3 linked regions of the Lonchura striata genome follow. The protein of the gene in region 1 binds, or shares a complex with, the protein of each later gene. Links are inferred from orthologs where the notes say so. Each region holds a gene or a part of one and is shown in the gene's direction. Other genes may lie near its edges.

Evidence for each region.
Region 2: the proteins of RAD1 (region 1) and HUS1 are in contact, whole or in part, in a crystal structure (PDB 8GNN), measured with the Homo sapiens proteins. The link is inferred for Lonchura striata from reciprocal best matches to the Homo sapiens genes RAD1 and HUS1. Residues at the interface, in NP_002844.1 of Homo sapiens: Asn85, Val88, Asp91, Cys92, Ser94, Ile95, Phe96, Gly97, Ser98, Gly127, Val128, Val129, Thr130, Val131, Cys132, Lys133, Ile134, Asn135, Gln137; in NP_004498.1 of Homo sapiens: Thr165, Ser168, Val169, Lys172, Met173, Asn175, Ile176, Glu197, Leu198, Val199, Cys200, Val201, Thr202, Thr203, His204, Phe205, Lys206.
Region 3: the proteins of RAD1 (region 1) and RHNO1 are in contact, whole or in part, in a crystal structure (PDB 6J8Y), measured with the Homo sapiens proteins. The link is inferred for Lonchura striata from reciprocal best matches to the Homo sapiens genes RAD1 and RHNO1. Residues at the interface, in NP_002844.1 of Homo sapiens: Asn47, Gly48, Ile49, Lys50, Phe64, Ile65, Gln66, Ser149, Lys155, Ile157, Glu211, Ala212, Lys240, Val241, Ser242, Arg244, Gln254, Tyr255, Met256, Phe266, Glu268; in NP_001239428.1 of Homo sapiens: Ser55, Trp56, Val57, Ser58, Pro59, Asp60, Phe61, Asp62, Thr63.

The regions. Positions count from the first base shown.
Region 1 is NC_134642.1:38,211,439-38,219,424, forward strand, and holds the start of RAD1 (cell cycle checkpoint protein RAD1), read left to right. Parts: upstream 1-4,927; 5' UTR 4,928-4,977; coding exon 4,978-5,172; intron 5,173-6,646; coding exon 6,647-6,755; intron 6,756-7,360; coding exon 7,361-7,619; intron 7,620-7,970; coding exon 7,971-7,986. Other genes in the region: BRIX1 (ribosome biogenesis protein BRX1 homolog), read right to left, coding at 398-667, 991-1,119, 1,632-1,733, 2,018-2,068, 2,167-2,240, 2,332-2,381, 2,758-2,828, 3,426-3,469 and 2 more. UniProt on the Homo sapiens protein: Component of the 9-1-1 cell-cycle checkpoint response complex that plays a major role in DNA repair. The 9-1-1 complex is recruited to DNA lesion upon damage by the RAD17-replication factor C (RFC) clamp loader complex.
Region 2 is NC_134603.1:83,471,926-83,479,915, reverse strand, and holds the start of HUS1 (checkpoint protein HUS1), read left to right. Parts: upstream 1-4,963; 5' UTR 4,964-5,062; coding exon 5,063-5,114; intron 5,115-5,126; exon of another isoform or gene 5,127-5,236; coding exon of another isoform or gene 5,237-5,261; intron 5,262-5,387; coding exon 5,388-5,515; intron 5,516-5,957; coding exon 5,958-6,134; intron 6,135-6,765; coding exon 6,766-6,873; intron 6,874-7,827; coding exon 7,828-7,902; intron 7,903-7,990. UniProt on the Homo sapiens protein: Component of the 9-1-1 cell-cycle checkpoint response complex that plays a major role in DNA repair. The 9-1-1 complex is recruited to DNA lesion upon damage by the RAD17-replication factor C (RFC) clamp loader complex.
Region 3 is NC_134604.1:31,063,124-31,071,101, reverse strand, and holds the start of RHNO1 (RAD9, HUS1, RAD1-interacting nuclear orphan protein 1), read left to right. Parts: upstream 1-4,958; 5' UTR 4,959-5,093; intron 5,094-5,796; exon of another isoform or gene 5,797-6,422; 5' UTR 6,423-6,523; coding exon 6,524-6,691; intron 6,692-7,978. Other genes in the region: forkhead box protein M1, read right to left, coding at 1-25, 437-559; forkhead box protein M1-like, read right to left, coding at 816-1,018, 1,785-1,924, 2,076-2,222, 2,681-3,219. UniProt on the Homo sapiens protein: Involved in microhomology-mediated end-joining (MMEJ) DNA repair by promoting recruitment of polymerase theta (POLQ) to DNA damage sites during mitosis.

The DNA.
Region 1 (7,986 bases):
CACAAGCAAGACTTTGAACAGAAAGTCAAACAGAAACAGGGCACAAGCAAGACTTTGAAACACAAGAAAGTCTGGGGGAGTGTAGAACTGAAAGAGGAAGAACTAGGTCATGAGGTCAGGAACTCTGAACTAAAGGTATGTTATAAATAACCCCAGAGAAGTTGTCCAGATGACCCATCCCTGGAAGTGTTCAAGGCCAGGTTGAATGGGATGCCATGTTTTTTCTCAAAACTCAGAATCCCAGAATACAATAAAAGAATGCAAACTCCATCTTTATAAAGAAATGTGTGTTTTGCTCATTTAAAACTGAAGCTCAGACATGTTTGTCTGTACAATGTGAATCCAAATATTTACGATATTTGGTTGATATTGTATGAAGTTTCATTCCTTATAGTATCTACGCAGATCCTTCAGTTCTGAACAGCTTTTTTTGCTTCTTCCTCTGAATTTTGCGAAGCTTCTTCTTATCTTTAACAATTGGCTTTGATTCTGGTTTCACAAGCTGTATTTCCACTGGCTTTTCTTCAGCTGGAGTTTCAAAGACTACTTCAGTAGGATCTTCTTCAACAAGGACCTTAGTCCCTTTTTTCTTAATCATTTGCACTTCTTTCACTTGCTGCTTCTCTCTAAACTTAGCTGCCACTGACAATCTCACCAGCCGGCGATGCTATAAAAGTAAGAATTTAAATTTCATCATGTTTCAAATAAGCATGATGGAAGAAATCTGGTATTAAAGAAACTGATTTCTTTAATGCTAATTTCTCTGCTTAATGGCCAAGACCCTCAGTGTAATATCATCTTTTCAGTGACATGACTTCTGCATTCACTCCATGATTACAAAACTACTCTGCTCTCAAACTGTCACCAGTTTAGGGCACTACAAAGGGTCCTGGGGAAAGGCATAGTTGATGCTCCTGCACAGACTGACTGCAAGGCTGATTTTCAAATTAGTTGCTAAATGAAGGAGAAAACAAAAACAGAGCTGCTTACCATATTTGGGGACTGGTAATGAGGATTTTCATATAGAGTTGGTCCTCCAAAGCTACCTTGGAAGATTTTTATAAGGTTCAGGACAAAACGAGGCCCAATTTCTACTAGAGATGCATCTTCTTCTATTATCTGCAATAAAAAGAAAACTTTCTCCATTTCTCACAGATTGAATCAAAGCATATGACCTTGCAGGCACCTTGCACATAGCAATACACAACTGAATTTAAATTCAAGATAATTAGCTAGATTTGTATAAACCCAGTCCTGTACATAAAGCAGTTCCTTGAAATTCAAGCAAGCTTTTGGAGTACTCTGTATTTGTGAATTCCTTATACAGAAAATAAGCTCTTGATCGCTTTGGGTCAAAGCAGCCATTTTGCTTAAGGCATAGTTTAGGCCTTGGGTAGTATGTCCTGCTACCAAGACATCCCTCACAGAATCACAAATCAATGAATACTGGTGAATGTTCAGTGAACCAGATCTCTCCAGGCATATGGAAGAAGTCATTACAGGACACTCAATCTGCAAGCACTAGGGGCTGGCATATCCTGCTAACAATAATGATTCTTATTTTATTTAATGGATGTGATATGAAGTTACTCTGCTGACCTCCTTTAGAAGAGCTAGGAGAGACCACTCACCTGATAATTGCGAAACCAGATCCTTTCATCAGTGACAGTGAAGGTGAAAACATGGTCAACAAAAGGCTGGCTTTTGGGGTGGTACTGTGGTGTACCAAATATCTGTAATAAAAGGCAGTATTTCTGAACATCTGCAATTTAAGAAGTCATACATAGCTCGTCTTAAACTCCTTTTAATTTACTAAGTTCCCAAACCAAGGTTACACTTCATAACCCAAAACTTATGAATAAGTGTCTGAGTTGTGCTAAGAATGATCCCAATCCTTTGTGATCTTTTCAAAGTTCAGAAGTATAAAACTGCTACTTGAAAAAAAACCACTTGTGATTCTTAAGTATGTTGCCAAGAAAACATTTCCAGTGAAGAAACACTACAACTACAGACTGACCTGAATAAACAATTCTTTTAGCAGGGCATAGTGTGGCTCTCGGTCGAATAGCTACAAAAACAAAAATATTATTTTACATACAAGGCTAAATGCAATAGTCATGCAAAAAGAGTAAGAACACACCCAAATGAAATAAAGCCTATACTTACTGGATCAAAAGACAAAAGGGGTCTTGAGCCCCTTAGGCAATTTCCTGTCATCTTCAATTCAGCCAGTGTGTGAACTACAGTGATTAAAAAAAAAAGTTATTACACACAGAAAATTTTTCGGACACAACAGCAAAAATACAAACACAGTAATGTCCACCAGCTTACCATTCTGCACCAAGAATTTAGCAGATGGTCCCTGTGGCGTGTTTGAAAGCCTTCAGAGGACAAGCGGTGGGGAACAGAGAAACAAAAATGTTAACAGCAGCCAGAATTTATGTTAACAGCCAGATAGATTTCCACACTACACCCCAACCAGTTATTCCTGCATTCAAGTAGTTTCTGCTACTTTTACAGCTGTACTGTAATGTGTATGTATGCTCATAAAAACTTGTTTTCTAAACAATTTTGTAAAATGCTTCTGCGAACAATGTCCAAAGCTGTTCACTGTAAATTTCCACAATCCACAGAAGTACAATATTAGAACAAATTTAACTAAGCAGCCGTATTTCATGCATCTTCACTGTTAGAGTCGGAAACTTCAGATAGAATTGCAGCTATAAATAGAAATGTAACAAAGCAACATTTCCTTACCACATGTAGAGATCCTGTTTCTTTTTAGCTTCAAAAAAGATGCACTTATTGCAGTTTTTCATTTCACACACCTACACAAGACATATCAAATTAGTGCTTACAAACATCCTGAAGACATTTTTGATAACTTTCCACATTCATCTCTAACATTTTTTCCTTCTCCAAAATGGAAGTACAAAATAATATTGTCTTATTAAATGACATCTACTGACACCCAAAATTTGGTTTGGCTTTCTTTTTACATTTCACATACTTACTACAAGGAGTAATAACCTCCTTAAAGCTACAAACAATTTGATAATCCTATCCAGGATACAAACACAATAACATTAGGTTCTAGCTTGAGAACTGTCAATATCCTACTATATTTGGGCTGGTGGCATATATATGTCCTGCACTGTTCAAGCATAAGCTGTACTACACTTCTCACCTACACAAAAAGCACATTATGCTAAATTTCTTCATGAATAAAATCTGTATCTAATTAAAAGTTTCATTCTGGTTTTATTAACCAAAAGTCAACTTTTGGCTTTTTGGGTATCAATAATTTTCACCACTGAAGTTACACTTTGAAATCGGTTGCCCCTTTCCCTTGCATACTGAATTTCCATATAAAATAAAATAAAATAAAATAAAATGAAGAAGCACCAAGACAAATACTGAATTACCTCATTGATTACAAATAATTGGTCTTTACGGTCCATTTTAGTATCTGGAAGACAAAACCAACATTTACAAGGGTGGAAAACCAATTTAATACAAGAGATTCTTTGAACAGTCAGATGTTTTACAAAAATTGTACTAGTTTATAAATGAAAGGGTAATTACCAAGTTGTTCCTGTCACGTTATAGAACAAATAGACATAGCAACAAAACTAACTGTGCAGGTTCAGACTGAGACCATAGGATTCACTTCTCAGAAAATACTATGGTACAACAATTGCAATACTTGTTGGCTCAAAGGGTGTTTGTTTAAGATACAAGCTTCAGCAAAACTCTTCTGTACCCCATTTTAAAAAAATAAAAGAACAGATCATTTAGAGCTTTTAGCTTTAAAGTAGTGTCAAAATATAAGTTAGGAATGATGTTCAAACCCCACCTGCTTTAGAGTGAGGCATCAATGTCCTTAAGTCCTGCATTAGGTGTCTTGTTCTGAAATTAATTCCACGAGAGGAGAATATCAGCACTCGCTCCTTGTTCTTCCATTTGCCCTAGGAAAAAAAGGCACAATAGTCACGTGGGAAGCTTCCAGCCTTAATAATGTCATAACGCAGCAAAATAAAAGTTTGGACAGTCAATACAGAAAGACACAGCAAGAACCTTGGTTTTGATCTGCCCACGCAGACAGGAACCACGCTCTCTTTAAGAGTGAACTTCCCTACAGCACGGGGGGCACTGCTTTTACAGGAGGAACCGTCCTCATCCTGATCCACGGCGTGCTCCCAGGCACATCCTTTCACTCCCATCCAACTACTAAAAAGCCACACGTGCATCGCTTATTTTCCTGCAAAATGGGCTCAGGGACAGCCCCAGAGCACAGCCCAGCTTCTCCTGTCGACGGGCGTATTGTGAAATCTTTGTGTTTACGCGCAGTATTCCACGTTTTTCCTACAAGCAAACAATTACGGAAACCTTCTCTGTATGATTCCTAAACGGAACAAGTACAGTTTCCATACAGCTTCAGTATACAACAGAATTACCCAATTCTTTCAAATACTTTTGAGACTGAGGTAACACATCTTACCGACATGGACCAGGCTAACGCTTCTCGCGTACAGAAAAAAACGCGCCACCACGTGTACTGTTAGTTGTGATGGTATTATAAGAGATTACGAATAACCCTCCCTGTCACGGCTTGGCCGCGTTCCCTCAGGCCCCCCGAGCCCGGGCCGAGCGGCGGTACCTGGGACACGGGCGGCGGGATGCGGTATTCCTGCGGCGGGATGCGGTTTTCCTGCGGCGGGATGCGGTATTCCTGCGGCGGGGCGCTGCGCTCCCCAGGGCCGCCCCCCGGCGCCGCCTCGCCCGCGCTCGGGGCGCTCCTGGCGCGCTTCGCCTTCCCCCCGGCCGGCGCTCCACGTTGTCTCTTGGCCGCCATCTGTCCCCACGCCATATCTCGCCGGTGTCCGCCCACTCCGCTTCCTGTGTCGCGTTTCCTGTGCTCCCGCCTTCCCGGTGCCGCTCTCCGCCCCCCGTGCTGCCGCCTCCTCGGGCCCGGCCATGCCGTTCTCGGCACAGCCGCCCGCCAGCGGCGAGCGCTGCGCGCTGTCCGCCAGCCTGGACAATGCCCGGCACCTGTCCAGCCTCCTGCGGGCCGTGCACTTCCAGGACTACGCCACCTGCCTCGCCACGGCCAGCGGGCTGCGCGTGACCGTGGAGGATGCCAAGTGTATCCAGGCCAACGCCTTCATCCAGGTACGGGGACACCGGCGACGGGGAGGGCGCGGCTGCCGCAGCCCGGGAGGACAAGGAGTCTCTGGATAGGGTCCGCCGGAGGCTGCAAAGGTGATTAAAGGACCGGAGCATCTCTGTTGTGAGGAGAGCTGGGTCTATTTAGTCTGGAAAAGAGCGGACTGAGAGTCTCACCAATGCATATAAATATCTCAAAGATGGGTGCCAAGAAGATGCTGCCGGACTCCTTTTTGTGGTGACCAGTGGCAGGAAGGAGAGCAATGGGCATAAAGTAAACCACCACCAAGTTTCACCTCAACACCAGGAAGAACTTCTTTACAGTTAGGGTGGTAGAGCACTGGAACAGAATGCCAGGGAGGTATTGGAGTTTCCCTCTCTGGAAATATTCAAACCCTGCCTGGATGTGTGCCGTGTCACTTCCTCCAGGTGACTCTGCCTTGACAGAGGGTTTGGACTGGATAATCTTTAGAGGTCCCTTAACCCTAACAATTCCATGTGCTCACCTGTGGAAAAGGGGAGACGTTGCTGGAACCGAGGCAGAGGTGCCTGGCTGTAGGAAGGACCGTGGTGAGTCTGCCCCTGTTTGTGGGTGTCCATGCTGCTGGAATTCCAAACCCGGCACCAGTACATCCCTGAACACGTAACAGTGTAGTGGGTTTGCGCCCTCATCTAATATATTGGTGCCTGCCAAACTCATGCTCCTTCTGGTTGTGCTGTTCTTAGTTGCACAAGCAAGTGCTCACTGTACCTCTCTTTTTATAGCTCATCCCAAAGCTAAAAGATTGGATTTTTGTCAACTGTGAAAGAGTACAGATTCACAGACACTTGATTGAAGATGGTTGTGCTGTGTTCAAAGCACCTCAGGATGCAGTTTTCTCTCTGGGCAGCCAGGAGAATATGAAATTACTTTTCCAAAAGCACCTCATGCCACCTTGCTTTATTTCTGAGATACTCTGTTCTCGTAGGTGCAACAAGCAGTGAGTACCAGTGACAGACAGCACAGCATAGAGCAGTTTATCCCCATCAGGCTAGTCAAAGGCAGGATTCAGCACATATTTCAGAGTGGTGAAGTCACTGTTCTGTTCTTAAGTACTAGTATTTGGAATGTTTATTCATGCTCTGAGCATAAAAAATATGAGTATTGTCACTGTAGAAATGTGACACATTGTACAGTTCCATGAATATTTCTAGCTCCAGAAGTAAGCAGCTCTAGGTTTTACCATTTGTAGGTTGTACTTAAACCATAAGAGACAAGTATTTAGGTTTCACGTTTATGCCATTTTACCTTGTTTCAAATGTAGTTTGGTTGTGTTTTCCTAGTTTTGAGGATGAAGCCCCATTTTTCTACAATCAATGTTGTGTTGCATGTAGAAATCATTTTGTGTTGTACTGATTTCTGGATGGGAAATCCTGAAGTTTAAGCTGTAAAATAATTGCAGAAACTCCCAACTTTTCATATTTTTGCTTTAATTTACAGGCAGAAATTTTTCAGGAATTCTCTGTTCAGGAGGAATCAGTGATGTTCCGGATCAGTTTGTCAGTTCTTCTGGACTGCCTCACCATTTTTGGATCCAGCTCCTTGCCAGGTGTGGTATATTTCCATGAATCCACAGAAGGTTGTGCTGGCACTGCAGGATGTGTATTCACATGGCATGGAGTGATACCATGGCAGCTTTCTGGACAGTTCTGCTCTTGCAGCTCTGTGTTGTACTCCTCACTCCCCTGCAGTTTTGGTTGTGGATGACCTAAAGATCCAAATCGAGTGTGCTAAAGAGCACTGTGGTTTTAGGAAACCGGAGGTTCAGGTGGTGATAACCTGCAACAAGAGGGTGTGACTGCAGCACAAGCTCAGCTGCTTTAACTTCAGTTTAGGTTGCACAAGTAACAAGAGTAGTAAGGAAAGATGATGTGAGCCAGAGAACCACAGGGCCATGAGGATTTTCCAATTCCTCTAAACTGTTTGTAGTGCGTCTTAATTGTCAGAGCTGGTGGGTGAAATTATTTGGCTTTAAGTTGTCTACACACAAGTAATTTAATTTTACTGCATACCCATTAGCATTTCAGAGGGTATCTAGGAGGCAGCACTAAAATTGATCTGTGGCCTGTGTGCCAGAAAAATGTGAGTTTTCTAAAGTGATCGAATGTTCTTGCTATGGTCTCTGCAGAATGTATGTTTTACTCTCTTTTTCAGGAGCATCAACGGCCCTTAGAATGTGTTATCGTGGTTATGGCTATCCACTGATGCTGTTCTTGGAAGAAGGAGGAGTAGTAACAGTATGCAAAATCAACACTCAAGAGCCTGAGGAATTGTTAGATTTTGATTTCTGCAGTACAAAGGTTGTTAATAAAATTATCCTGCAGTCAGAGGGACTACGAGAAGCATTTGCTGAACTGGATATGACCAGTGAAGTTCTGCAGATTACCATGTCTCCAGATAAACCCTACTTCAGGTACTAAAAATGGCTTTCAACTCAAATGTTTGTGCTTGGCTGCCTTTGGTGAGGAGTGGAAATTTTCACGGTGGAGAGAGGGGAGCTATTTTAGAATACCAGTTCATTTCAGGAAGAATTATAATGAGTATAGTAAATCACAGTATGTTCTCTAATTAACATAGTAATGAGTATTTTGACAGCCTGGTAAATGTGACACTGGTGTGGACAGTTGAGCATTTTTGATTGAATAAAGTGAAACAAACAGCAGAGTTTGGTAAAACAGTCATGGGATACGTACAGTGACTAATTTTAATGAGTTTTTACAGAGTTCTCATCAGGCGTTTTGAGATCGTGCTTTTTGTCTTCCAGGTTATCCACTTTTGGA
Region 2 (7,990 bases), on another chromosome or scaffold:
GGTCAAGCACGACCTACCCCTCCTAAACCCATGTTGGGTAGGTCTAATTCGCCGGCAATCCTTTAGATGCATGTGATTCCCCAGCCACCCTGTAGGTACTCAGGATGATCTGCTTCATAACCTTGCCAGGTACCAGGGTCAGGTTGACTGGCCTGTAGTTTCCCAGATCCTCCTTCTGGCCCTTCTTGTGGATGGGTGTCACACTGGCCATCTTCCAGTCTTCTGGGACCTCCCTAGTGAGTCAGGACTGATGGTAAATGATGGAGAACAGCTTTGCAAGCTCATCACATTAGGATGTATTCCATCTGGTCCCATAGATTTGTGAGAATCTAAGTGGCTCAGCAGGCTCTGACTGCTTCCTCCTGGATAACAGGGGTCTATTCTGCTCCCTGACACCATCTAGCAGCTCAGGAGGACAGAGTTTCCTGAGGACAACCTGTCTCTTTGTTAAAAACTGAGGCAGACAAGGTGTTCAGTACCTCTGCCTTTTCCTTATCTTCAGTTACTAAATTCCCTCCCACATCTGATAGAGAATGGAGGTTGTCCTTGCCCTTCCTTTTGCCATTAATGTATTTATAAAAATGTTTTTTACTGTCCTTCACAGAAGTTGCCAGTTTGAGTTCTAACTGGATCTCTCTAATTTGCTGGATGATGATGGATTCATTATTGAATGCACAGGCAGTAACCTGTTTGGGTTTTGTTTGGGGGTGTTTTTTTAATCACAGTATTTTAAGGACAAATTGCTCACTGCTTCTATGCTTCACTATTAGTAGTCAGCTTCATAACTGCTGGAATATTGGCCCAAAAGCAAGCCTCACTTGAAGACCTGATCCCTACATATGTTAAAAAAATTAGAGTAGTTTTCATACTCCTTATGAAGGAGGAGGAGCAAGAGGATGACAGGCTGAGAAGATCCACAGACAGCACAAAGGTTCTGAGTTATTAGGAGAAGAGGGGTACAACTGCTGTGACAGTTTTCCTACTCTCTCAGTGCTGCTTTGCCATATCAAGGTTCCTCCACAAAGCTGTCTCTCTCTGCTGTAAATGTGATATACCCTAGCACTTCTGTTTTAAGCCAGTATGGATAGAGAGCTTGTCCTGGCTAATAAGATAAGCACGTATTCTATTTGCCATCTGTTGGAGGTTGGGCAGTTTTCTTATCTCTTCCAAGAACAATGTCTCCCTCCAGGGAGACACTGAAATTTTGAAACTGTGGTAATTTGGAGGGAGGGGGTTTACCTTTTCCATTTCACAGGAGGCTCTTGCCTTCCTTCACAAACTCCTGTCTTTTCAAACCAAGACAGAGCTGAACCCCCATTTATCTGCCTTCTCTCCTACAGCCATAGTAATAAATGGCTCCTGCCTGGCCTGAAACCCTGAAGTAGAGCCTGTCAGTCAAGTGTGATGAGAGCACAGAGCAATATAAAGCCTTTTTTTTTTCCAGACTTCTGGGTGTATATGTGGCATATAGTAATTTATTTCTGATGCCCATCTTGGTTATTAATTCCCCACTTTTATTATTTAGGGCAAGCAATGGAAATTTTTTGTATACATAGTCTGTCTTCTCATTGAGGCTTAATCTTCAGAGGTTATAAAGCAATGTTAGCAATGGACCATATCTAGAAAACAAGCTAGAGAACAAACTTCTGTCCAGATGTGTTGGTTTTGTATGGCCTGGGTTTTGGTAGTGGGGAGGCCACGGAGGTGGCTTCTGTGAAAAGCTGTTAGAAGCTTCCACCATGTCCAGCGGAACGAATCTCTGATGGCTCTGAAGACAGACATACCACTGGCCAAGGCTGGGCCAATTAGAAATTATGGTAATGCTTCTGTGATAACATATTTAAGAAGTAAATAAAAACAAAGTGGTGGCACAGTTTGAATTCCAGCTAGAGAAGACAAGAAGGTGAGAATATGTGAAGGAAATAACATGGAGACACCAAAGTCAGTGAAAATGGAGGGGGAGGAGGTGATCCAGGCACTGGAGCCGAGATTCCTGTGCAGGCCATGCAGATCCACAGGGGTTGCAGAGATCCATTTGTAGCCTGTTGGGGAGGTGCCTGTGCCAGGGCAGGTGGATGCCTGGAGAAAGCTGTGATCCAGTGGAAGAGTCAATGGGGAGAGGGGGCACCAGCTTCAAGGATGGTGCAGCCTGTCCTTGGAGGACTGCACCATATGGAAGAGTGCCCCATGCTGCAGCAGTTTTGGGAGGACTGCTGCTCGTGAGAGTAGACCTCCGCTGCAGAAGTTCATAAAGAACTGTGTCCTGTGGGAGGGACCCCACAATCTCACAGGGGAAGGGCCCCTCTCCCTGAGCAGTAGATTTCAGGTGACAAACTGACCAAAACCCCCCATGCCCTGTCTCCCTACACTGTCAGTGGGAAGGAAAGAGGGTTTGAGGGAAGATGTTTTTAAGAGCTTATTGTACTTCTCATTATCCTCCTCTGATTTTATTAGTATTAAATCTACTTTGTACCTCCAAGTTGAGCCTGTTTTGCCCTTGGAGTGTCTTCTCCCAGTCCTTATCTCAACTCATGAGCTCTTCATTAATTTTTTCTCTCTGCCCAGCTGTGGCAGAGAGTGAGTGAGTGACTTTCATGGGTGCCTGGCATTTGGCCATGGTAAAACCAGTCAAAGGCAGAAAAGGCAAATGATGTGGATCTGTTAAACTTTATGCAATCCACATGTATCACGATGCCACAGCTTGAAAAGGGTTCAGATCAATCTTCCTTCTGCAAATTCCTGCTTAACATTCATGTAGCAATCATTTCACTAAAAGCAGTCTGCAATTATGTCTGTGAAAGATGTAAAGTGTGTTAAACTGCTGCGGTGGTGTGTCTTTAATTTGATTTTTGTTCAATATCTGTTTCCCCTTTCCCCCCCCCCCCCCCCCCCCCAATCCCTAATCTCCTCCTCTCCCCAGTTGTCAGTATTCCCTAGCTCTCCCCTAACCCCCTCATCTCCAAGTTGTCAATCCTCCCTTTCCCTGCTCCTTTCCCTGGAACCTTCTCTGTCATTCATCCTAGCCCCCTCCTCTGCTTCCAGAGCATTCCCTGAAACCCTATTGCTTATTTTGTGTTATTTCACTTCCCTGCTCCCCCTGATAGGTTTGTGATGGGTTAATTCTGCCCTAAACTCCTCCCCTGCTATTCCCTCATTGGTTGCTGTTCCTATACCCCTCCTCCTGAATTCTTGTATAAAACCTCTGCTCCCGCTCCTGAAGAGGTCTTGGGGCTCACTGAATAAAACCATCCTGTTCACCCCCAAGTCCCGTGTCGCCTTCGTCTGTCCCCGCGCCACCAACTGGGACAGCAGAGCTTCGCAGGGGGAGCGGCCGCCTGTTCTCTTCCCTCTCGCAGCCCAGCACGGCACCGCTCGGGGTGCCGCAGCAAGGGGAGTGCCTGCCGCGCCACAACAAACTGCAAAGTTTAGTGTGTGGGATTTCACATCATTAGGGTTTTATCTTCTGCAGCCATGTTTCATAAAACAAAAGGCAAATGCACCAGTATTTAATGAAAAAGTTGGAGATAATTCTGTTAGGTGTAAACTATTGTCCAAGTCTGAAGCTAAGATTGTACCAAGCTGCACCTAAGCTCTGTGAGGAGTTTAGAAAGCAAGAGGATCTACTCTGAACTTGTGATTCAACAGGAGAGTCTTCTTTATTCTTTTTTTGTCTTTGGTCTCATTGTAAATAATTCTAAAATTATTCTAATTAGATTTTTCTTTGTATGTTTCATCCATGATGAAGTGAATCTTGTCATTGAGCTTTATGTCACACTTTAATATATGTATATTAACCCCACTTTTGCTAATACCTTTCATGATGATTCTTTGAGTGACCCTAAACCCTATATTTGTGACAAATCGGTATAGTTGACAGGATCCTAGATGAGAATTTGTGACGCCCTGCTGCACTGGTTTCTCTGGGAAACTCTTCAGCTTATTTCTACAAAATTTACAAGGTCTAAGAGCAATACAAGCAGAGGATAACCTCTCCAGAAACTATTGCTGTATCTGTCATTAGGCAGACCCAAGGTTATTTTTCATTTTCTTCATAATGACTGTATAGAAAGAGAGAATCAAGGCATGTGAGCAGCACTCCAAGAATATTTCAAAATTAAATATTAGAGAGGCAATTTAGCTGATTTGGGGAACTTGCAATGTGACAAAAGAACACCAGACAATCCTGACAGACAAAAAAAGAACACCACTAGAAAACTGTCTCTGCAAATGCTGTAGCTTTGAAGTACTGCAAGGAACTAAAACCATTAAGGCAAAGGACACCGTCTATAGAAAACAGGCATGCTCCACATTGACTAGGTAAAGCAGTTTTCCTTCACTTTCTATTTCCTTGAACAATTCCAGCCTTGGCATAAACCCCTGTGCACCATGCATTAAGCTGGGAGCCTGGCTACAGGAGGCACCCGGTCTGACAGAGAGTATCTTTCTCAAAACACTTTCGGCTGCCCAGCCCTTTCTGGGTGGGCTGGTAAAACTGGGGCAGTGAAAAGGCCCCTCACGAAGCTGTTCGCTCCCCTTTCCATCACGACTGTTGCTTTCCTTCCTCACCACCGCGTCCTGTGCGGCAGCGTCGGGGCTATGCCCCTGCCAGCGGCTGATGGGTCTGCTGCAAGGGCCCCCTTGGATTTGAAAAAGAAATTTCTCGAGACATCGGGACTGCGACCCACACAGACGAATCTTCACGTACATTCCGGGGGTCCCAAGGCATTTTCGGCCTAAGCTTTTCAGCCCAGGCTGCGCCGACTGCTGCCGCGGCGGAAGGAAGTCGGCCCGCCCGCCCGGGCGCTGCGCAATCCCGCCGCGCTGCGGGGCTGGCTTTGGCGAGGCCTCTCCCTGCCCGCCCGGGCGCTGCCCAGCCCCGGCGCTGCCCAGTCCCGCGCTGGCTTTGGCGAGGCCCCTCCCTGCCCGCCCGGGCGCTGCCCAGTCCCGCGCTGGCTTTGGCGAGGCCTCTCCCTGCCCGCCCGGGCGCTGCCCAGCCCCGCCGCGCTGCGGGGCTGGCTTTGGCGAGGCCTCTCCCTGCCCGCCCGGGCGGGACCGCGGCGCCATGCGATTTCGGGCAAAGATCGTGGATGTCGCCTGCCTCAGCCACTTCAGCCGTGAGTATGCCGGGCCAGGCTGAAGGGCGGCAGTGCCTCGCCGAGCACCTGGGGCCGGCTTTCTCGGGCTAAGAAAAGAGGAAGGGAGGCGAGGACCGCCTGCTTTCCTGGGAGGACGTGGCATGAGGCGCTTTCCTTCGCCCCGAGGTGTTTAGGAGTTTGCGAAAGAGCACGAGCTGCGTTTGTGAAAGCTGAAGGTTTTTCCGTCCCGCAGAGACGGGGGTGCGTGGAGCGATCGCTGTGTGACGTCTCCTCCCTCCCTTCCTCCGGCAGGTATAATTAACACTGTCGCCAAGTTAGCCAAGACCTGCATCCTGCGCCTTACTGTCTCCAAGCTGTATTTCATCCTCTCCGATAAAGTAGCAAATGGAGGCGCCAGTCTGTGGTGTGAGCTGAGCCAGGTGAGCCCAGGAAAGTTCAGTGACCACATTTTGAAAACCAGAGCATGTAATTGGGTTTGACGTATGAGGCATTTCTTGTAGCCCTCACCTTCGATCTGCTAGGTCTCTCAGGGTCTGTCTGGTTGCAGGTGTTTCAGGTAGGATATTCCTTTTTTCCTTGGTAGTCACTTCAGTGTAAAGCTTCAGTGTGTGCTGGCTCACATGGGCCTGCCCAAAACTGGAAACGGGAAAGCATAACTCACTGTCTAATAGACTGATAAGGTGTTAGGGGAGTACGTTAATTGGTTTAGCCTGAAGCAATGAATTTTCATGGTTGTGATTCCTCAGGTGATGTGAGGCAGAGGGGAGTTTCTGGTGTACAAATGCAGTTCTAAGTTTAAGGTCCGATAAATAAAACTTGCCTCTCTTATTTGCTTTGTTTCCCGACTTTCAAAAATTGTAGGGGAATTTCTTCGATGAATTTCAGATGGAAGGAGTAGCTGCAGAACACAATGAAATCTATCTAGAGTTTGTGCCTGAGAACCTGTCAAGAGCATTAAAAACTGCCCAGAGTGCTAAGGCAGTGAAGATCAAGTTGACTAATAAACACTGTCCCTGTCTCAGAGTTGCTGTGGAGCTAGTAAGTTCAACCATGCTTTCATGTTCATTATTTAAAATTCAGTGCATTTCCTAAGATCAAAGGGTAATATTTGGTGTAATTCTAGAAAACTAAAGAAGCATTGTGCCATTTTCCCTTTCACTAACCTTTCTTGCCATCATGGTTGGTAGCATACAGAACCAGATTTATATTTTCCAAAAAGCAAGGAGGAGGTGGAGGAAGAATGCTGTGTTATTGAAACAAGTTTTTCTAATGTCTACTTTTCTACCTTCCTTCATCCTCTGTATCTTCTGTGGATTATTGCCTTTTCATTGAAGCCATTAGATGAAGGAGGTTTCAGTGTTTGGCTCTGTGTTTTGCCTTTGGTTTTCCTGATATTGTATGCTGACTTCTGATTCTTTTATTGTTAACTCTGCTGATTCACTTCTTCAGCTCTTTGGATAGCTTATAGGTACACTAATGACTGATACATCACAAACTCTTCCTCATTTGAAAGGGAAGCCCACTTTAAAGCATATTGATAGGAGCTGAGGGAAAATGAACTGAGTTTCAGGCATGTAGTTATAGCATTTCCTAGAGTGGGTCTGAAAAATTTAAATTTAGAATTCCAATCTTGTGTTTAACTGCAAGAGCATCCTTTTTTTCCCTGAAGCCATCCTTACCAAGCAGCAGTAGGATTGTGACACATGACATTCCTGTGGGAGTTATTCCCAGAAGAATGTGGAATGACTTCAGAGAACCCAGCGTGCCAGACTTTGATGTAAGCCTCTGCTTTTATTTTCCCTTCTGAAAGAGGAGCTTGCAAGTGGAACGATATTGCTATAGATTATATTACTGGTGGGGTTTGGAAAGGAGTTGAAAGGAAAGAGGAACGACTGGAGGCTACAGGTTTTTTTTTTGGGGGGGGGGGTATGGAACATGGCTTCAATCCTGACAAGAGAGCCCAGAACCTATGGAAACAGAGTGGGTGATTGCCAATTGCTTCTGTGATGTTCATGGCAGAGGAAGGGAGGAGAAAAGGACTTGCTTAGCTTTAGTCTGGAGCACCTCTAAACCAGACAAGTTTAGACTGTTTCAGCTGTTCAGGTGCTGAATGGCCCAAATATCTATTCTTTCTGAAATTTATGGCCTATCTGGCAGAGTTAGAGATATAGGTGTTTCCTCCTGGTTTTAACTCTTAGCAAAATTGTAAGGAAAGGTCCTTAAACAAATATGCTCCTATTAGAGATTACAGATGTCTGTTACCTCTATAGCTAAGAGTATTTAGATTCTGAAGACATACAGAATCTTGACATATTGAAAAAACTTTTAATATTTTGTTCTTTTATTTTAGATTTACACTGGTTGCAATAATTACATTTCCAGTAATTACTGCAGTATCATAGGAATCTTGTTATTTTCTTTTTGGCTATAGTAATTGACTATTTGATAACATAGATAGTTCATGTGAAAGCGTGATCTGCAAAAACATGCCTCTATTTTGAACATAGACTTGGAATATTATGTCTGGAATGATTGCTAGACTGATGGCTTGTTGGTATAATGGGAAAGAGTTCCTCTGTTCCTGAGACATTTGCTGATTTCAGATAGATTTTGTGCACCCTGAATGCCATAGATAACACTGTCCAAACTATGATAAAATTGAAAGTAGAAATCAATGTGTCCCAATCACATCTGAAATACTTGTGCAAATGCAGTTCTTATGTATTCCTAGGTCAGTATTTACTTACCAGTGCTGAAAACAATGAAGAGTGTTGTGGAAAGAATGAAGAATCTCAGCAATTTCATTGTAAGTTAAGGCACTTAAAGCATGCTTTCTACAGATGTTATTTCATGAGGGACATAACATGTTGCCTAAACTAGTGCAGCCACATTAT
Region 3 (7,978 bases), on another chromosome or scaffold:
GGGACAGGTTGTGCCGGATGGAGTTCTGAGGAGAAAGGAGTGAATGGGAGGTTGAAAACCAGCAGTTTTGTTATCAGCACAGCAAGGCCCACCTCAAACATAGCTGTCCTAGCAGAGGGATTACATTCCAAAGTGCAAACAACACCAAACTTTCATGTTCACATCGTACCCAGCCAACCCTGTCATCAGTCTCTTATTCTATGTACTCTTGAGATCCCAGTTCTCACTCCAGTGCTCAAACATCCCATCATCTTGTTTAAGTAGGATGAGGCAAGGGATACAAGAAGTGGTACAGTGAACATCTGGAGTGAGAGTGTATTTGGGGTGGAACGTTTAAATGAGCTTCCATCTTGATTTGCAGGCTGGGGAATAACTTTTCATTTTGATCCAGAAGGCATGTAACATCACCCACAGCAACTTGAGGGCTGCTGGTTACCTTCCAACCTGGCTTAGCTACATGTTTAAAATAAGGGAAATGATCCTCAATCCAGGTATAGATGTCCTTCAGGGTCATGCGCTTCCTCTCCGTGCTGTTGATGGCAAATTGGATCATGGCCATGTAGGAGTAAGGAGGTCGCTCTGACACCGAATCCTGACATGAGGAGGACTCAGCAGCAGTAGGAATAGCAGCAGCAGCAGCTTCCTCTTCAGTCTGAAAGAAAGAAGATTCAGTCTGAATGAATGTTCGCGAAGCTGACAAGAAGGCCCATGGAACATCCCTGGATCCTCTGGGTTCTGCTATTCATATCAGTAAAGGTTAAAATCAGGTTACTTAGAGATAGCAATACCTAATTCTTGCAAGTATTCTGATCCACCTAGATTACCTCCTTATCAAAAGTTTTAGCACACTCTTGTATTCTCCTACTTGCCTTGACTCTTTCCTGCAGAGGTATCTGATTCTCTTTCTCTGTGTCTTCCTTCACAGAAGAGGGATTTAGCCCATCAGATCTCATCTTCCCCAGCCACTGGATGTTGGTGAGACTGTTGTCCAACACAGAACTCATTGTCTCTCCACTGCCTGTTGGGATAATAAGCCCACATAATAATCACAGAATAAATTAGGCTAAAAGAGTCCTCCAAGACCATTGAGTCCAACCTGTGACCAAACACCCTCTTATCAATGAGACCATGGCACTGACTGCAGCATCCAGTTGTTTCTTGGATACCTCTAGGGATGGTGACTCCAAACCTCCCTGGACAGTCTGTTCCAATGCTTGACAACCCTTTTAGGGAAGAGGTTCTTCATTATGTCCTATCTGAACTTTCCTTGGCACAGCTTGAGGCTATGCTCTTTTGTCCTGTCATTTGTTGCCTAGAAGAAGGCAACCCCCACTGCTCTACAACCCCCTTTCAGGCAGTTGTAGAGAGTGACAAGGTCCCCCTGAGCCTCCAGGCTGAACAGCCTCAGCTCCCTCAGCTCTTCCTCATCAGACCTGTGCTCCAGACCCTTCACCATGTTGTCCTTCTCTGGACATGCTCCAGAACCTCAATGTCTTTCCCGTCATGAGTGACCCTAAACTGAAAAAAGAACTCAAGATGCAGCCTCACCAGTGCTGAGTACTGGACAATCTCTCCCCTGGTCCTGCTGAACACAGTATTGCTGGTACAGGCTAGGATGTCATTGGTCTTCTTGGCCATCTGGGCACACACTGGCTCCTGGCTGCTGTTGACCAGTAGTCCTGGCTCTTTTCCTGCCAGGCAGTTTTCCAGACACTCTTCCCCCAGCTTCTAGCACTGCCTGGTGCTTTTGCAACACAACTGCAGGGCCTGGTACCTGCTTTTACTGAACATCATGCAATTGGCCTTGACCCATGGATCCAGCCAGTCCAGAGCCCTCCTGCCCTCCAGCAGATCCACACTCCCACCCAACTTGATGTCATCTGTGAGTTTGCTGAGGATGCTCTTGATCCCCTCATCCAGATCACTGATACACAGAGAAAAGCAGGACTGGCCCAACTCTGAGCCCTGGGGAACCCTACCAGTGACTGGTCACCAGCTGGATGCAGCACTGTTCAGCACCACTCTCTGGGCCCAGCCATCCAGCCAGTTTTAATCCAGTCAAGAGTGAACCTGACCAAGCCATGGCTGCCAGCTTTTCCAGAAAAATGCTGTAGGAGACAGTGTGAAAGGCTTTACTGAAGCCCAGGTGGGCTACAGACACAGCCTTCCCCTCGCCATAACTCTGCTTTCTCACAAGTAACCCTGCTACTCCTTCATCACAGCTGTCAAAAGGAAGGCACCAGTCACACTTCTAAAAGATGGTATTGCAACACTAGTATTGTGGAAGGAATTCATCTTGAATTCCTGATTTTGATTCCTGTAGTTGCCCAATTTCTGAAAAGAGCTGCAGGCTCTAAAAATAAACACTCAAACCAGGCTATTGTCAACCAAAACAGGACAATGTTGATCAAGTACTTCAAGAAATAGAAAGATTTAGCACAAAACTTAAATCAGAAGCACAGATGTCTTCCACCAAAAAATATGTCCACTATAATCCTTCAGATTTCACTACATATGCAAAGCTAGGTACATTATTAGAATCCAATCCATAGGTATTTTGTAATTAACAAAATATTAATAATTACTGCAAACCAAGATGCAAGTGCTGCACTCCTTGGCCCATTTCACATCTCTTTGTCTGTCAGGACAAAAAAAAAACAAACAGGTAAAGGCTACATACTGTCCCTGTCCAACCACAGGACCAACTCCTGAATGCCAGAGCTCTGTACTACCTGCAAGACCAGATGTCTGTGCAACATTCTTCTCTCTTTCTTGAATAACTGCAGCCCTGTTGCCTGCACTGGCTTTCTTCTCTGATGGGAGATGCTGCGATGGTGCTGGACCTGCTGAACGGGATGTGCCCCCACTGCTAATGAGAATGAACTTATTTGGTCCATTGTTGCCACATTCTTTTCCTTTTGCTGTCAATGCCTCTATAATGCTCTGGATATCAGCATTTGTAGGGATGGCCACCACCTGTGTGTTGGGCATTGTAGGATGGTCAATTATCTTTATTCCTGCTGGGAATTTCTGCAGGCCACCGTCCCTTTTGTCTCTGGGTTGTCTGTTGTGTTGGTCTTCCTGCCTGTGCTCCTGCTTAGGAGCCTTTTCATCCTGACCTCTCTTCTCATCTCTTGCTGAAGTACTGGATTCACCATTCTGTGGGAGGGTCAGTTTTCGTCTTTTGAGAATTAAGGGCCTGCGAGGGCTGGTCCTCATTATTGATCTATACTGTCACTCTCCATTGAAAGGGAGAGAAACAAATCCTGCAAAACAAAAGGTACAACATAAAGGGTGCAGCAAATCATCTCAAGACCTCCCACAGAGCACACATTCTCAGCAGTTGCAGTTGCTACAAAGCTAGAAATGCAAAAGGAAAATTAAAATTAGAAGCATTTAATAAGGCAGACAAGGCTACTGAAAAATCATACTGTACCTCCCTAATCCACACTTTGTGTAAGCAGGATGAGAGAGTTGCAGAGTAGATAATGTGCATCATAAAGTACATAATAATGAGCAAAGTGTGTATGTGCTTTACAAAAAGACTTAGCTGTAGGGCAATTTGACCATGTCAGCCAGCAAGCTGCAGGGGAGGCGGAATATAGAAACAGCAGTGCTGATTCTTATAGCTGATTGCTCTAAGCAGCAGATTATATAACCTGTGTGAAAAGGGAATTTACAGATGGTTTAAGATCTGGGAAGCAGAGATTACCCTGAACACTACAAAAGCACATAATAAATGCAGCAGAAGTAAGGTGCTTTAAGCTAGACACCAAGTAAATGTGCTTCTAATTCCTTTTGTATTTGTTAAGAATCACATAAATTCATCATTGGGTAGCATACAATTTAGATGTCAAACTTTTGGACAATAGGTAGTTTAGACTATAAAGCTGGAAGCAGAGGAAATGAAATTCAGAGATACTGCTTCCAGGGTAAGATGCTATGAGAATATTGCTAATAATGCCATCAGGAATTTGGTGGAACCTGTGCCTTTCTGAAAACTAAAGCAGAACAATATGCAAATTGTAGTTATTGTTTGTCATTAGAGATGGCAAGCAGAATAGAAACAGATACCAAAAAAGAGAGGCCTTTTGCATTACTAGATTTGACGGGGTCAGCTAGTAAACGAGAAAATTCTCAGTAAGAATCCCCTACATTGATAGAAAGCAGAGTCCAGCGGATAACAAGCTGAGCTAACGCCCTATGCACAGTGAGCAGACAGCCCAGCGATCATTCCACGCGGGTTCTGGCACCCGGCACAAGCATGGCCCTTGGAGATCTGCTCCTCCCCCTTAAGGAGAGACAGCGCCAGAAGCAGAACCCTGAGCCAGCCTCCGACAGGCAGCGTTCCTGCGAGCAGGAACGGGAGCGCGTCCCTTCCCAAGGCCTGGATCTGCTGCCCCGTCCAGGCCCGGGAGCAGGGCTGTGCAGGCGCGGCCCCGCGGGGGCAGGCAGGGCACGGCCAGGGCGCTCCCAGCTCCTCTGTCACCCACCCCAGCCCCGCGCTGCCGCCCTGGCCGGCGGGTTCGCTGCTCCCCGGGCCTTCCGCCCCGGGCCGGGCCCGGGCGCTGCCCTGTCCCGGCCGCGCGGCGGCCTTACCGCGGCCGTCCGAGGGGCGCCGACCCCAGCCGGGGCGCCGGCGGCGACTCACCAGCTGCGGCCGGGGCGCGGCCGGGGCGGGCGGCGGCCCCGGCGCTCTCGGAGCGGCCCGGTTTGAATTTGGCGCCCGGCGCTGGCCCGGTCACGTGCCGGCCTGCGCCAGTGAGCGGCGGCGGGGGCGGGCCCGGCCCGGGCCAATGGGCGGCGGCGGCGGCGGGCGCGGATGTGCGGCGGGACCGGGACCGGGCCCGCGTCGCGCCGGCACCGCGGTGTGCCGCGCTTGTACCGGGACGGCCGCTCCCGCCCGGCCGCGGCAGTGCCGCCAGCTTCCTTCAGCCGTGCTGCCCGCGGCCGGGAGCCCCGCCGTGCGCCCGCGCCGCCGGCGGCGCGCTGGCGCCTGGTGAAGAGCTGCGGGGTTTTGCCGTTTAACGTGTGTGTCACGGCCGCGCCGGGCTAGAGGGGCCCGCAGGACCCTCGGGCACGGTGCCGCTTAGGTAAGCCGTCAGGCTGTGTCAGTCTCATGCGTTTCTCAGAAATGTTGTCACGTTTTCTTGTCTGTGCTGATCTATGGTAAGTCAGGTAGGTGAACATAGTTGTGCCCAGGTGGCCAAGAGGGCCAGTGGCACCTGGCCTGTGTCAGCAACAGCGCGGCCAGCAGGGCCGGGACAGGGACCGTTCCTCTCTCCTCGGCACTGCTGGGGCACTCGGAGTGCAGCGCCCGGTTCAGGCAGGACACTGAGGTGCGGGAGTGGGACCCGAGAAGGACAGCAGAGCTGGTCTGGAGCACAAGTCCCACGAGGAGTGGCTGAGGGAGCTGGGGGTGTTCAGCCTGCAGAAAAGGAGGCTCAGGGGGGACCTTAGCGCTCTCTACAAGGGCTTGAAAGGAGGCTGTGGCCAGGTGGGGTTTGTAACTTCTGGAGGCATCCTCTGCAGAATGTCTGTCAACTTGTTTCAATGGAAACTGATTTTCTGCTCCTCTCTTTTTGGCATTATCTAAGTTTTTCATACCTTTTTCACTACTAGGTTCCTGCATAGGTAAAACCTACCCTACATGTTCTCTCAAGCACCTCTCAAGCACCTAGTGATGGAACAAGGGGACATCATCCGAAGCTGCACCAGGGGAGGTTTAAGTTGGGCATTAGGAAGAAGTTCTTCACAGGAAAGGTGAAGACAGGCGAATGGGCTAGGGAAGTAGAGTCCCTGTCCCTGAAGATGTAGCACTTGGGCCATGGTTTAGTAGCCATGGTGGTGTTTGGCTATAGGTTGAATTTGATGATTTCAGAGGTCTTCCAACCTAATTGAGTCTGTGTTTTCCAATAGAAAATTAAATACAATGTTACTTCAGTTCAAACTTATTCATTAGGCAAAACAAATCATGCAAGATCTGTAGAATACGGGAGATGTCAACTCTGTTTTGTAAAAAAGAAAAAAACAAACTTAAAATCCCTTGAAATTAAAAACACACAGGTAGTTAGCAACCAGAAAGGGAAAGAGTTCTGATTATCTTAGCCTTACAATATCTTCTTGGCATTACAAACAAGACTGAATTGAAAAAAAGAAAATAAATTTTTTGGCTTTTTTGTTCTTTTCATAGCTGACTTGTTCTTTTCATAGCTGTATCAGTAGGTCAACAGCTTCCCTTCCTGCAGTGCATTTCTAAATCTACCTGAAAATTAACAAAAGGCCCAAGAACCACTATTGGGAAAAAGTCTGCCTCAAGATGTATACACTGTGCTGTTGCATAAATGTTTTGCTTTTGTTAAAAACTGCATCTGAGGTTTCCAAATGAGTCTGTCTTCAAATCCATTTATTTGCTTCTACAGATTTGAGAGCACTTTCGCATCTCCTCAGGGTGCTTCCATCTTTCTTCAATTGGCTCCAACAAGCATCATGAGGTTTCTAAGTAGTTTTACCACACCTTTTGATGCCTCCAAAGAAGAAGTGTACCCACAAGGCCAGGAAGGCAGAGCTGATTTTCCTTGAGAAACCACGGGCAGGACCCATCCATTGTTATGAAGCTCCACTGCATTTGGCTGAGAATCCCAGACGTGTGCCTACAAAACCTGTAGACCTGAACACCTCTGCTGCCTGGGTTGGTACAAATTATCTTTCCTCCTGCGTCCCACACCAACAGTTTTCAAGTTTCTCCTGTTTCTCCTGTCTTAAAAGAAAGTTATCTGTTCTGGATATGGAAAGTTAGTAGCCCAGACCTGAATTCCTTCTATCAGTCTAAAGCATAAATAAGTGCTTGAGTTGCTTGACATTCTAAGAATAAGCACTAAGGTCTTGGTTACTTGAAGACATAAACTGTCTGCAGTGTGTACTGATTAATGAATATTTGTCTTCTAGAAAAATTATTCGCATCAGGAAAACACTGTTTTCCTTAGCAACCAAAACCCCTGCACAAAATAATCATTAGGGGAGTCCTTTCTTATTGGCTTGCTGTTTAAAATAACTGCTGAACTCTAAATGTTCGATGTTAAAGTATTGAGTGTATTGTTTAAATCTGAAACTGCTAAATTTAGAGAACATAGGTTTTTACTTCAGAATCATTTGTTCTAACCTGCTCTCTTTTCCATTTATGTTTTTTGAGTAGTGTCTCTCCATACCAATCTTCTGATAGGTTCATTTTCTTGGGACTGTTTGCCATGTCCTAGAATACTCTTTATATCATGTAATATAAAGCTTTAGTTTTTTTAAGCAAACAGCTGCAGCAAAGACAGACTGTTCCTATACAACAGTAGTCATCACCTAGGGGAGCTCTGTTTAAACATTATTGCTGCTTGACTGCTCTTCACAAAGCAAACTCAGGAAGAGTGGTTTCAAAACTGTATGAAACATTCCTTTGTTCCTGTTGACCTGCAGGTATTTTTGTAATGCCTTAACCTTGAAGTAGAACATCTTCAATTTTTTCCTCTTTAAATTTTTTTTGTATCTGCTTGAGGCAGTTAGCTCTACAGTTTGTGAATCACTAAGTGAAATAACTGCTGTGAATAAGCATTCATTTTGTTTGGAAGAGGTGGAAGCATCCACTCTGGTAGCTCTTTGATTCCTAAAATATTCTAAAATTTGTTTGAAGCTATCAGTACTGAAACTGTTAAATATTTCTCAGTTTGGTAACTGTGATAGGTTTGTAACTTCTGGAGGCATCCTCTGCGGAATGTCTGTCAACTTGTTTCAATGGAAACTGATTTTCTGCTCCTCTCTTTTTGGCATTATCTAAGTTTTTCATACCTTTTTCACTACTAGGTTCCTGCATAGGTAAAACCTACCCTACATGTTCTCTGAAGCCGGAAGCCATATCCTTAAAATCAGGGATTATGTTAAGTATGTGCTAGTATACAATTATTAAAGAATCATTTCTCTTTTCCTGCAAAAT